2 linked regions of the Sus scrofa genome follow. The protein of the gene in region 1 interacts with the protein of each later gene in a pairwise test. Links are inferred from orthologs where the notes say so. Each region holds a gene or a part of one and is shown on either strand. Other genes may lie near its edges.

The links. The genes of interacting proteins can lie anywhere in the genome.
Region 2: the proteins of CA8 (region 1) and SPDL1 interact in binary tests that used the Homo sapiens proteins (3 or more experiments, as listed by UniProt). The two-hybrid records come from large-scale screens. The link is inferred for Sus scrofa from reciprocal best matches to the Homo sapiens genes CA8 and SPDL1.

The regions. Positions count from the first base shown.
Region 1 is NC_010446.5:73,109,852-73,114,094, reverse strand, and holds part of CA8 (carbonic anhydrase-related protein), read right to left. Parts: intron 3,174-4,243; coding exon 3,125-3,173; intron 1,537-3,124; coding exon 1,424-1,536; intron 1-1,423. UniProt on the Homo sapiens protein: Does not have a carbonic anhydrase catalytic activity.
Region 2 is NC_010458.4:54,279,128-54,283,370, forward strand, and holds the end of SPDL1 (protein Spindly), read right to left. Parts: coding exon 4,128-4,243; intron 1,512-4,127; coding exon 970-1,511; 3' UTR 795-969; downstream 1-794. UniProt on the Homo sapiens protein: Required for the localization of dynein and dynactin to the mitotic kintochore.

The DNA.
Region 1 (4,243 bases):
TGCTGTCACCCTCCCCAGCACAGCACCAAAGCCCTTTGCTGCAGGTCAAACCCGTGCCCCCCTTCTCCAGCTTCGTTTCATGTCACTGGCTGTTTACACTGGCAGTGGGCATCCCCAAAGGCACTGTGCTTTCTCTTGCCTCCTGCCTCTGCAGACATTTCTCCCCTTGCTGGCAATGCCCACAAACGCCCATGCCACATCCCTTTGCCTGGTTGGGAAAGGTCTACCAAATGGCTGAATCTCATCCAGGTGCCTTTCCTATGTGATCCCAGGCTGCGCATGCCATACCAAGGCACTGTCCTCATGAAATTATTGGGTTTTAAATGTGAACCTATTGCCTTCCCCCCCCCACGGTGAATTCTAGGAGGTCAGGGGTACGTCTTATTTGTTCTCCACCATCAATGCCTACTATGGTATCTTATACATACTAAATGTCAAGTAATCACCAAATGAATCAATGCATGAAATAATAAATTACCAGCTCAGTCTCAAAGGAGTAATATCACATGTTAACATTAGCCCACGTCAAGGATTAAAAAAAAAAAAAAATAGGACTACGACATAGATTGTTATTATATCCAGTAAATACTGTGTATTAACAGAGTCAATGACATTTAAAGGCCAGGAAATGTATCTCCAGCATCATAAAACATATTGTACATTAAAACTCAGTGCTTTGGGAATGCTTAGTCATCTAAGATTGTACACCACCTGCAGACTCACAGACATAGAGAATAGACTTGTGGGACCTTTTTTTTTGGAGTGGGGAGGGCACGAGAGCATTGGACTGGAAGTTTGGAACTAGCAGATACAAACTATTATATATAGAAGGATAAACAAGGTCCTACTGCATAGCACAAGGAACTATGTTCAATATCTAGTAATAAACCATAAGAGAAAAGAAAAAAAAATCCCCCTTGAGTTCTTTCACACCCCTTCCGGCTGGCTACAGGCCCACATGTAAGGCAAATCCAGAACTTTCCAGGGCATTCCAGAAGTTCTCCCTCACCCTCTGCATACAGAACCTTCCTGTGTAAGCCAAGGAAGAACTATTACAAAGCTCGAGTGTGGCTTGCAGAAATAACTGGCATTCTCACTTTACCTCCATTTCTCCTCTCCAATGCCTGGGAAAATCCATATAAAGGAAAAACTAGACGAATCAGAAGTCTGACTGTTTCAGTGACTTCTATTTACTCTATAAAAACTGACTTCTAACACCACAGATTGGGTATTATTGGCTATTTACTGGGTTTTGTTCATCCTTGACCTTTCAAATTGCTTTCACTGGTTCAAGGCACTGGACTTTCATCTGAAAAGGTGTGACTGCTCTAACTGACCCAAAGGGAGCCTGAGCATAAGCAGATGCTGCCCCTTCCCAGAAACGACATTTGACCTTCCTTCTGGAAGAACGCACTGCACTCACCTGTAGCTGGGATATCGTCAAAGGGTATCGGAATAATATCCAGGTCACACCTTCACTGCAAGGCGGGATAGTGAGGGAGCCTTCGTAAACCCAGTAATCCCGCAGCAGAGGATCTGTGCAAACCAACCACAGGGTATGTCATGGGAAGGCAAGGTAATTGAAAAAAATTTTGAAGATTCCAACCATTCTCAAAATTACAAACTGTCCAAATAACAGGCTGATGCCATTTTTAAACTAGAACCTCGCATATGTATTTTTAAACTGATCATAAGGAGAAAATAATCAGTAGAAAACATGGTGAATGCTCTTTCTATTATTTACAGTGATTTCTATCAATTAATTATATACACGCTTAACTATGACTATACAAACGGAATATACATAAACTTGATATACTATGTGATATATATACACACTTGATGTATATTTTATATATCAAGTTTGCTCACTTGAGGAGAAGTATATCCACAGTTTGGGGGGTTTTTTACCTTATTGGAGGATTTACCTGACTGATTGTACCTAATATTTACTGAATGTTTACTACATGTGAAATGCTCTTCTAAACATTTTACATTAATTAGTGAGATCGGTCCTTTTATTAGCCCCATTTCTCTGATGGGGAAACTGACTCACAGAGGATTATGTTATATGCCCAAGACCTCTGGGCTAACCAAAGCAGTCTGGTTTCAGAGTCTGTGTATTTAAATGACCTTTGAAAAAGTTGAGTTAAAATAAATATCCCTGTAAAATGCAACAAGAACAACAACTCAATAATCTGTAACTTCTGGAATTTAAAGTAAGAGATTGTGTGAATTCTTCCTGGGTGTGATAATTAGAGCCTTTGGGTCTTTTAAGAATGCTAAATCCTATGTCTAATTTTTTAAATAAAAACAAGAGACAAAAAAAAAAAAGAATCTACGTGTATAACCATTCTGGTCTAACTACCTCTATATTCTTCCTCAACAGAGAAACATTAAAATCATATTATAATAGAATAAAAGAAATCATTCTTATGAAACCTTTTAGCTCTCCGTGAGAGGAATTTGTGATTAAACATGATGGGCAAATATTCAACATATGGCAAAAACTGGTTCATTGTAGAGCAATTAAATGTAAAAAGGAGAAGATATAATGCATTCGGTTTCGTTTGGAACCCTAACAATTTTCACATAATTTAAGCAGAGAAGTGTGAAGATCATAATTTTATCCAAAACAACCTCTATCTAAAAAGTATACTCTGAGTATTTTGTACATACCTCTTACCTGTTCGGACATACCTAAGTATTTAGAATAAGAGCTAAAGAGCATGACTGCAAAGAGGTTATCTTTTAAAATTAGATATAAAGTTTATTTCATGCCAGAGATTAGTAAGAACTTCGCTGGCCAATCTTAGATGCACAACAAGGTTAAGTTATTATACTCGTGCTTTACACAGAGGTCATCACTTGCACAAATGAAAATACAAAGGAAACACTTTTGAAAATACAAACACAACACAATGGAGCTAGTGGCAAAGTATTTATTATATCAAAAGGTTTACTGCCAGGTTTAGAGAAATCTGAAATTGGTGCCAGATACAGAGAATATCAATAGTAGAGACACTTTATTAGCTAATAAGATATAGCTGTATATATCCTGAGGGTAACAAAGCAGTCATCTTCACAGTTCAAATTCATCTTACGCAGCCAGATGAACGCTTACCTGGTAATAAAGTGTTAGGATTAAAGCAGGGTATTGTTTTGGACTTCCCCTGAAAAAGAAAACAATGTACCCCCACATTAACATAAAATCTCTAAGTTTTAGAACAAAAAAAGTCATTAGCACTAAAAATCCAGGTTGCAGTCTTTCCTGACTGGCACCAGCAGACCCCATAGATTTGAGAATGTGTCCATGTGTCGTCTCACTGGAGCAACAGGGGCCGCTGGTTCCAGTAAGATACTCCTGCTCTCAGTCTGTAGCACTGTCTTTATGACCACCTCTCAATTTTCCCTAGAATCCCCAGTGTGAAACTGCAAACTGTCCAGTGTTTGTCTGTCCCAAGTCAGCTACCTTTCCTGCTCCTGGCACCTCCAGACCAGAGACGCCGGCCCTCGTTCAGGAAGTCTTTTGAGATGACTTTCCTCCTGGTTCTGTGATCTCTGTTCCCAACCTGCTTGTATGACAAGCTGCCTCCGAGTTCTCATTGTGCCCCATTTGGATGTGGTAACTCAGCTCTAAAATCCATCCTAGATGCTCTCCTGCTCCAGGGAAGAACTGCCAGTCAAATGAAAAGGTCGAATTTCCATACACATTTATCAGAACGAGATTTAAATTTCAAAAAATATTTGTGCCATCATTCACCAATTCACCTTTCTGATCACTAATTTTTTTTTTCTTTCTTTTTAGGGCACCACCTGCAGCATATGGAAGTTCGCAAGCTAGGGGCTGAATCAGCCACAGCCACAGCCACAGCCACTCTAGATCCAAGCCTCATTTGTGACAGCTTGCAGCAATGCCAGATCTTTAACCCATGAGAGGGGCCAGGGATCGAACCTGCATCCTCATGGATACTAGTTGGGTTCTTAACCTGTTGAGCCACAATGGGAACTCCTACTGATCACTATTTTAAACAGTCCCATTTAAAGAGTCAGGCCTAACAGGCAGCTGGATGCCTCTCATGACTCTATTAACGCAGACATAATGGGAGGGTTAATGCCTAACCTCTTAGTCTCTTCCAACTCCTAGGCACTGCTGGACACATTAAAGAACCCAGCTTACCCGCCTCCCTCATCCTCCCATATTCCATAAAGACACCTGTCCCATTAGCTGAAGCAATAAGGG
Region 2 (4,243 bases), on another chromosome or scaffold:
ACTCTTGGTCCTGCTAAACATATCCAGAATGTGTTTCTTACTCCACCCTAACCTCAGCCATTGTACCTACCTTTCCCTTCCACTCACTTTCTCTCACCTTCTGTTCTCTATTATTTTAACTTTTTCTTAAAGGGTAAGGCCCTTAAAACATTAGTTCCTACAGACACACATGTCTGACACTTCCTCTTTTAGTCACAGATTCAAATATGCAGAAACTAGAGGCTTTAAAGTTTGGATGTAAACTGAAAATGAATTACTTTTTGAAAATTTTTTTTATTGAAGTATAGTTGATTTACAATGGGGTCCAACTGTACAGCATAGGGAACTGTGTGTGACTGGGTCACTTTGCTGCACAACAGAGATTAAAGAAACATTGAAAATGAATTACTTCTGATATTTAAAAATGTCAAATCAGGTATTAAAGCCCATTCTTAAAGGCTTAGGATAAACAATTTTGAAAGCCATAAAAAATGTCACCTAAAAATTTTATGGAAGGCTGAAACTTCTCAGACTAATGGAAAACCCTTGTAGGAGGTAAGCTAATTTTTCTTTCAAGCTCTTCTTGAACCAGAAAAAAAAATAACTGTGGAGTTCCCGTCATGGTGCAGCAGAAACGAATCCGACTAGGAACTGTGAGGTTGTGGGTTCAAGCCCTGGCCTTGCTCAGTGGGTTAAGGATCCGGCATTGCCATGAGTTGTGGTGTAGGTCGCAGACTAGGCTCGAATCTAGCGTTGCTGTGGCTCTGGTGTAGGCTGGCGGCTATAGCTTTGATTAGACCCCTAGCCTGGGAACCTCCACATGTGGTGGCTGAGGCCCTAAAAAGGACAAAAAGACAAAAAAAAAGAAAGAAAAAAAGAAAAAAAACCCTGTATATTTATTCAAACCAACAAAACATTCAGAGATGTACTATACTGTGTTATTTCTGCTTCCTGACACAGAAAAGTGTTACTTAAAAATAACTCCCTCATTCAGGAGTCCTTTCCCTTTACAATCATTTTAGTTTTTCTTAATGTTTTAGCAAATCGGAAGGCAGGCAGATGAAATCGGGGAATTATACTACATGCAATACTAAGAAAATAGATAAAGAAACAGATAGCACAGTTCATGCAGCGATAGAGAAGAGATGGAGAGGTCTGCTCGCTGCCTTGAAGGAAAGAGGACACTGACCTGGGAGAGTTAGGGATGTTTCCACTTCTTTCACTTAGGGCTTCAGAGTCATTTGAAACTCCTATAAGTTTCACACATTTCTTTTCCTTCTTTGGTTGAATATCCATGGGAAGATTTTTGTGAGGAGAGAGAATGACTCCTGATGTGCTTATAGAAACTGTCTTTTCTAACTGCGAGCTGTTATCTTCTAAACTGTTAGGACAGGCCGGTGCCTCCTCTTTCTGAGGTGATAATCTATAAACGCCTTCCCCAACAGCACTGTTGGCACAAGCATCCTTAGGGGTGGTTATATCCACAGGCAGCACCTCACGCCTCTTTTTGAGGACAGGTACTTCAGTTCTCTCTGAGAATAAAAACAATCAGAATCAGATCTAGTCAATAAATCAAAGACACAACATGAAGGCAGAACTAGTTATATATTTTTTTTCACTTTTTCCATTTCCATTCCTTTAAAATCCATTCATTTCTTTACTGAAATACATCATCTTTAATCCTTTTTTGCAATGGATTCCATTAACTATATCTTTTCAAGGTCATCTGGCTATAAATCTTCCTTGGGAACTCAATCTATTTGGCTCTAGGAATGAACACTTAAATATTCTCTTCTAGTGTTATGATAAAAGTTACACGGGGCTTCACAAGATCTTAGCGTGGAAATTAGAAAGGACATAGTGGTTAAGAGTGAAGGAATCCATCATTCCATTCCTATGCAGGTCCATATACAGCCACTGAATTAATTGTTCTGATATCTTTTGCATATCCCCAGACTAATGTGTCTTTCATTTCATTTTCAAAATCAAAATATTAGTGAAGTTGGAGAAACCATGGCTGAAAGTGAGGTCTGTGTTCCTGCCCTACACTATTGTTATTCAATCATTTTCTCTTTCTCTTGCACTGCTCCTTTGAAACCCACACCACTGAGATTTACCATACTTTCTCCCGTTGGCTGTGTTCAGTTCAGCAGACCTTTGAAATTCATAATTGGTCATTCTTAATCAGGACAGGGATGGAGTTCCTGTGGTGGCACAGCGGAAACAGATCCAACTAGGAACCATGAAGTTGAGGGTTCGATCCCTGGCCTCGCTTAGTGAGTTGGGGATCTGGCATTGCCATGAGCTAAGGTTTACCACGAGCTAAGGTTTAGGCCACAGATGTGGCTCAGATCTGGTGTTGCTGTGGCCAGCAGCTACAGCTCCGATTCGACCCCTAGCCTGGAAAGTTCCATGTGCTGTGGGTGCATCCCTAAAAAGAAAACACAACAAACAAAAAAATCAGGACAGGGAGGAGGAAAAGGATGGGAAAAAGAGAGGCTTTTTTAGACTTTAAAAAAACGTTAGATTTTCTTTGTGGTTGCCAAGGTGTGGGGGGAGTGGGATCACTAGGGAATTTGGGATTGATAGATGCAAACTATTGCCTTTGGAATGGATAGGCAATGCACTGGAAATTATCTAATCACTTATGATGGAGCATGATAAGTGAGAAAAAGAATATATCCATGTATGTGTAACTGGGTCACCTTGCTGTACAGTAGAAAATTGACAGAACACTGTAAACTAGGTATAATGGAAAAAATAAAAATTATATATATATTAAAAAAAAAACCCTTAGAATCACTGACCTCCCCACTATTGTTAAGAATCATTCCATAGTCACTGAAATAATAATGGAGGGAGCTGTAGGCATGTGAACAGTGTAGGGGCAAAAACTCACTGAAAAATCTATAAGCTAAAACAAGTCACAATGCTTTTGGGGGGGTCTATTACACCCTTTTATTTTTGGCCTTTTATTTATTTATTTATTTTATTTTATTTTTTTGTCTTTTTGCTATTTCTTGGGCCGCTCCCGCGGCAGGTAGAGATTCCCAGACTAGGGTTCCAATCGGAGCTGTAGCCACCGGCCTACACAGGGCCACAGCAACGCGGGATCCGAGCCGCGTCTGCAACCTACACAACAGCTCACAGCAACGCCGGATCGTTAACCCACTGAGCAAGGGCAGGGACTGAATCCGCAACCTCATGGTTCCTAGTCGGATTCATTAACCACTGCGCCACGACGGGAACTCCAGCCTTTTATTTTTTTAAATAAACATACTGTAAAATCACTTTTTTTTTTTTGGACTGTGCCTGTGGCATGTGGAAGTTCCTAGGCCAGGGACTGAATCTGTGCCACAGAAGTAACTGGAGCTGCAGCAGTCACAATGCCGGATCCTTAACCTGGCTGCACCACAAGAGAACTCCCCAAAATCATTTCTTTAAAATGTATAATATGCAGCACCTATATGGTTAGGTTATAGTGATTTGACTTGACAGTTGTCTTCTATTATCTGTCCTGCTATTCCTTAGTAATAGAATCCCCAAGATTTAGTTGGGAGCATGGACCCTAAGAATCAAGACCGAATGAATTTCTCTGCTTTTCCTGCAGGCGGGTAAGACCATATGACTAAATTCTGCTCAAGCAGATACATGTTGATGAACAATGCAAACTCAGCCTAGATCCTGACACTGACCAGTCCCAAAAGGCCTCCTCCAGACTTTAATAAGGGAGAGAATGTCTATCTTGCTTAAATCTCCATTATTATAAGATTTCCCTAGACAACAGTATTAACTAATATAGCTCCCAAATATTAGTTGCTTTGACAAAACCGAACTCTTTTACAGAAGAGGTTTAACAGAAGAGGCTGCAATCTTAAATGGAAAAGTCTCAAAGGTCAAGGTTGTGCTATACAGTATCCAACAAGAATACCCATTATATTCATGCATATCTAGTACCCAGTTCTCTCTGAATTTTCCTACTCGTTTTGTAGCAAAAAAAAAAAAAAAAAAAAATTGTTTTATTAAATATAGATACATAGCTACAAATTAGTTTATAATGCAATTTGCATAGAGCTAGAACAAGAAAAAACTGGTAGTTCTCAGAGCTTCTCATGATATAAAAGACAAAATATATGACACATACACACCTTCAGGTTCATACTTCAATTTTAACTCATCTAGTTTAGCTCTCAGTTTCATATTTTCACTCTGGGAAAGCTGGAGGCACCTTTCATTTGAAAAAAGTTTTCGCTCAATATCCAGA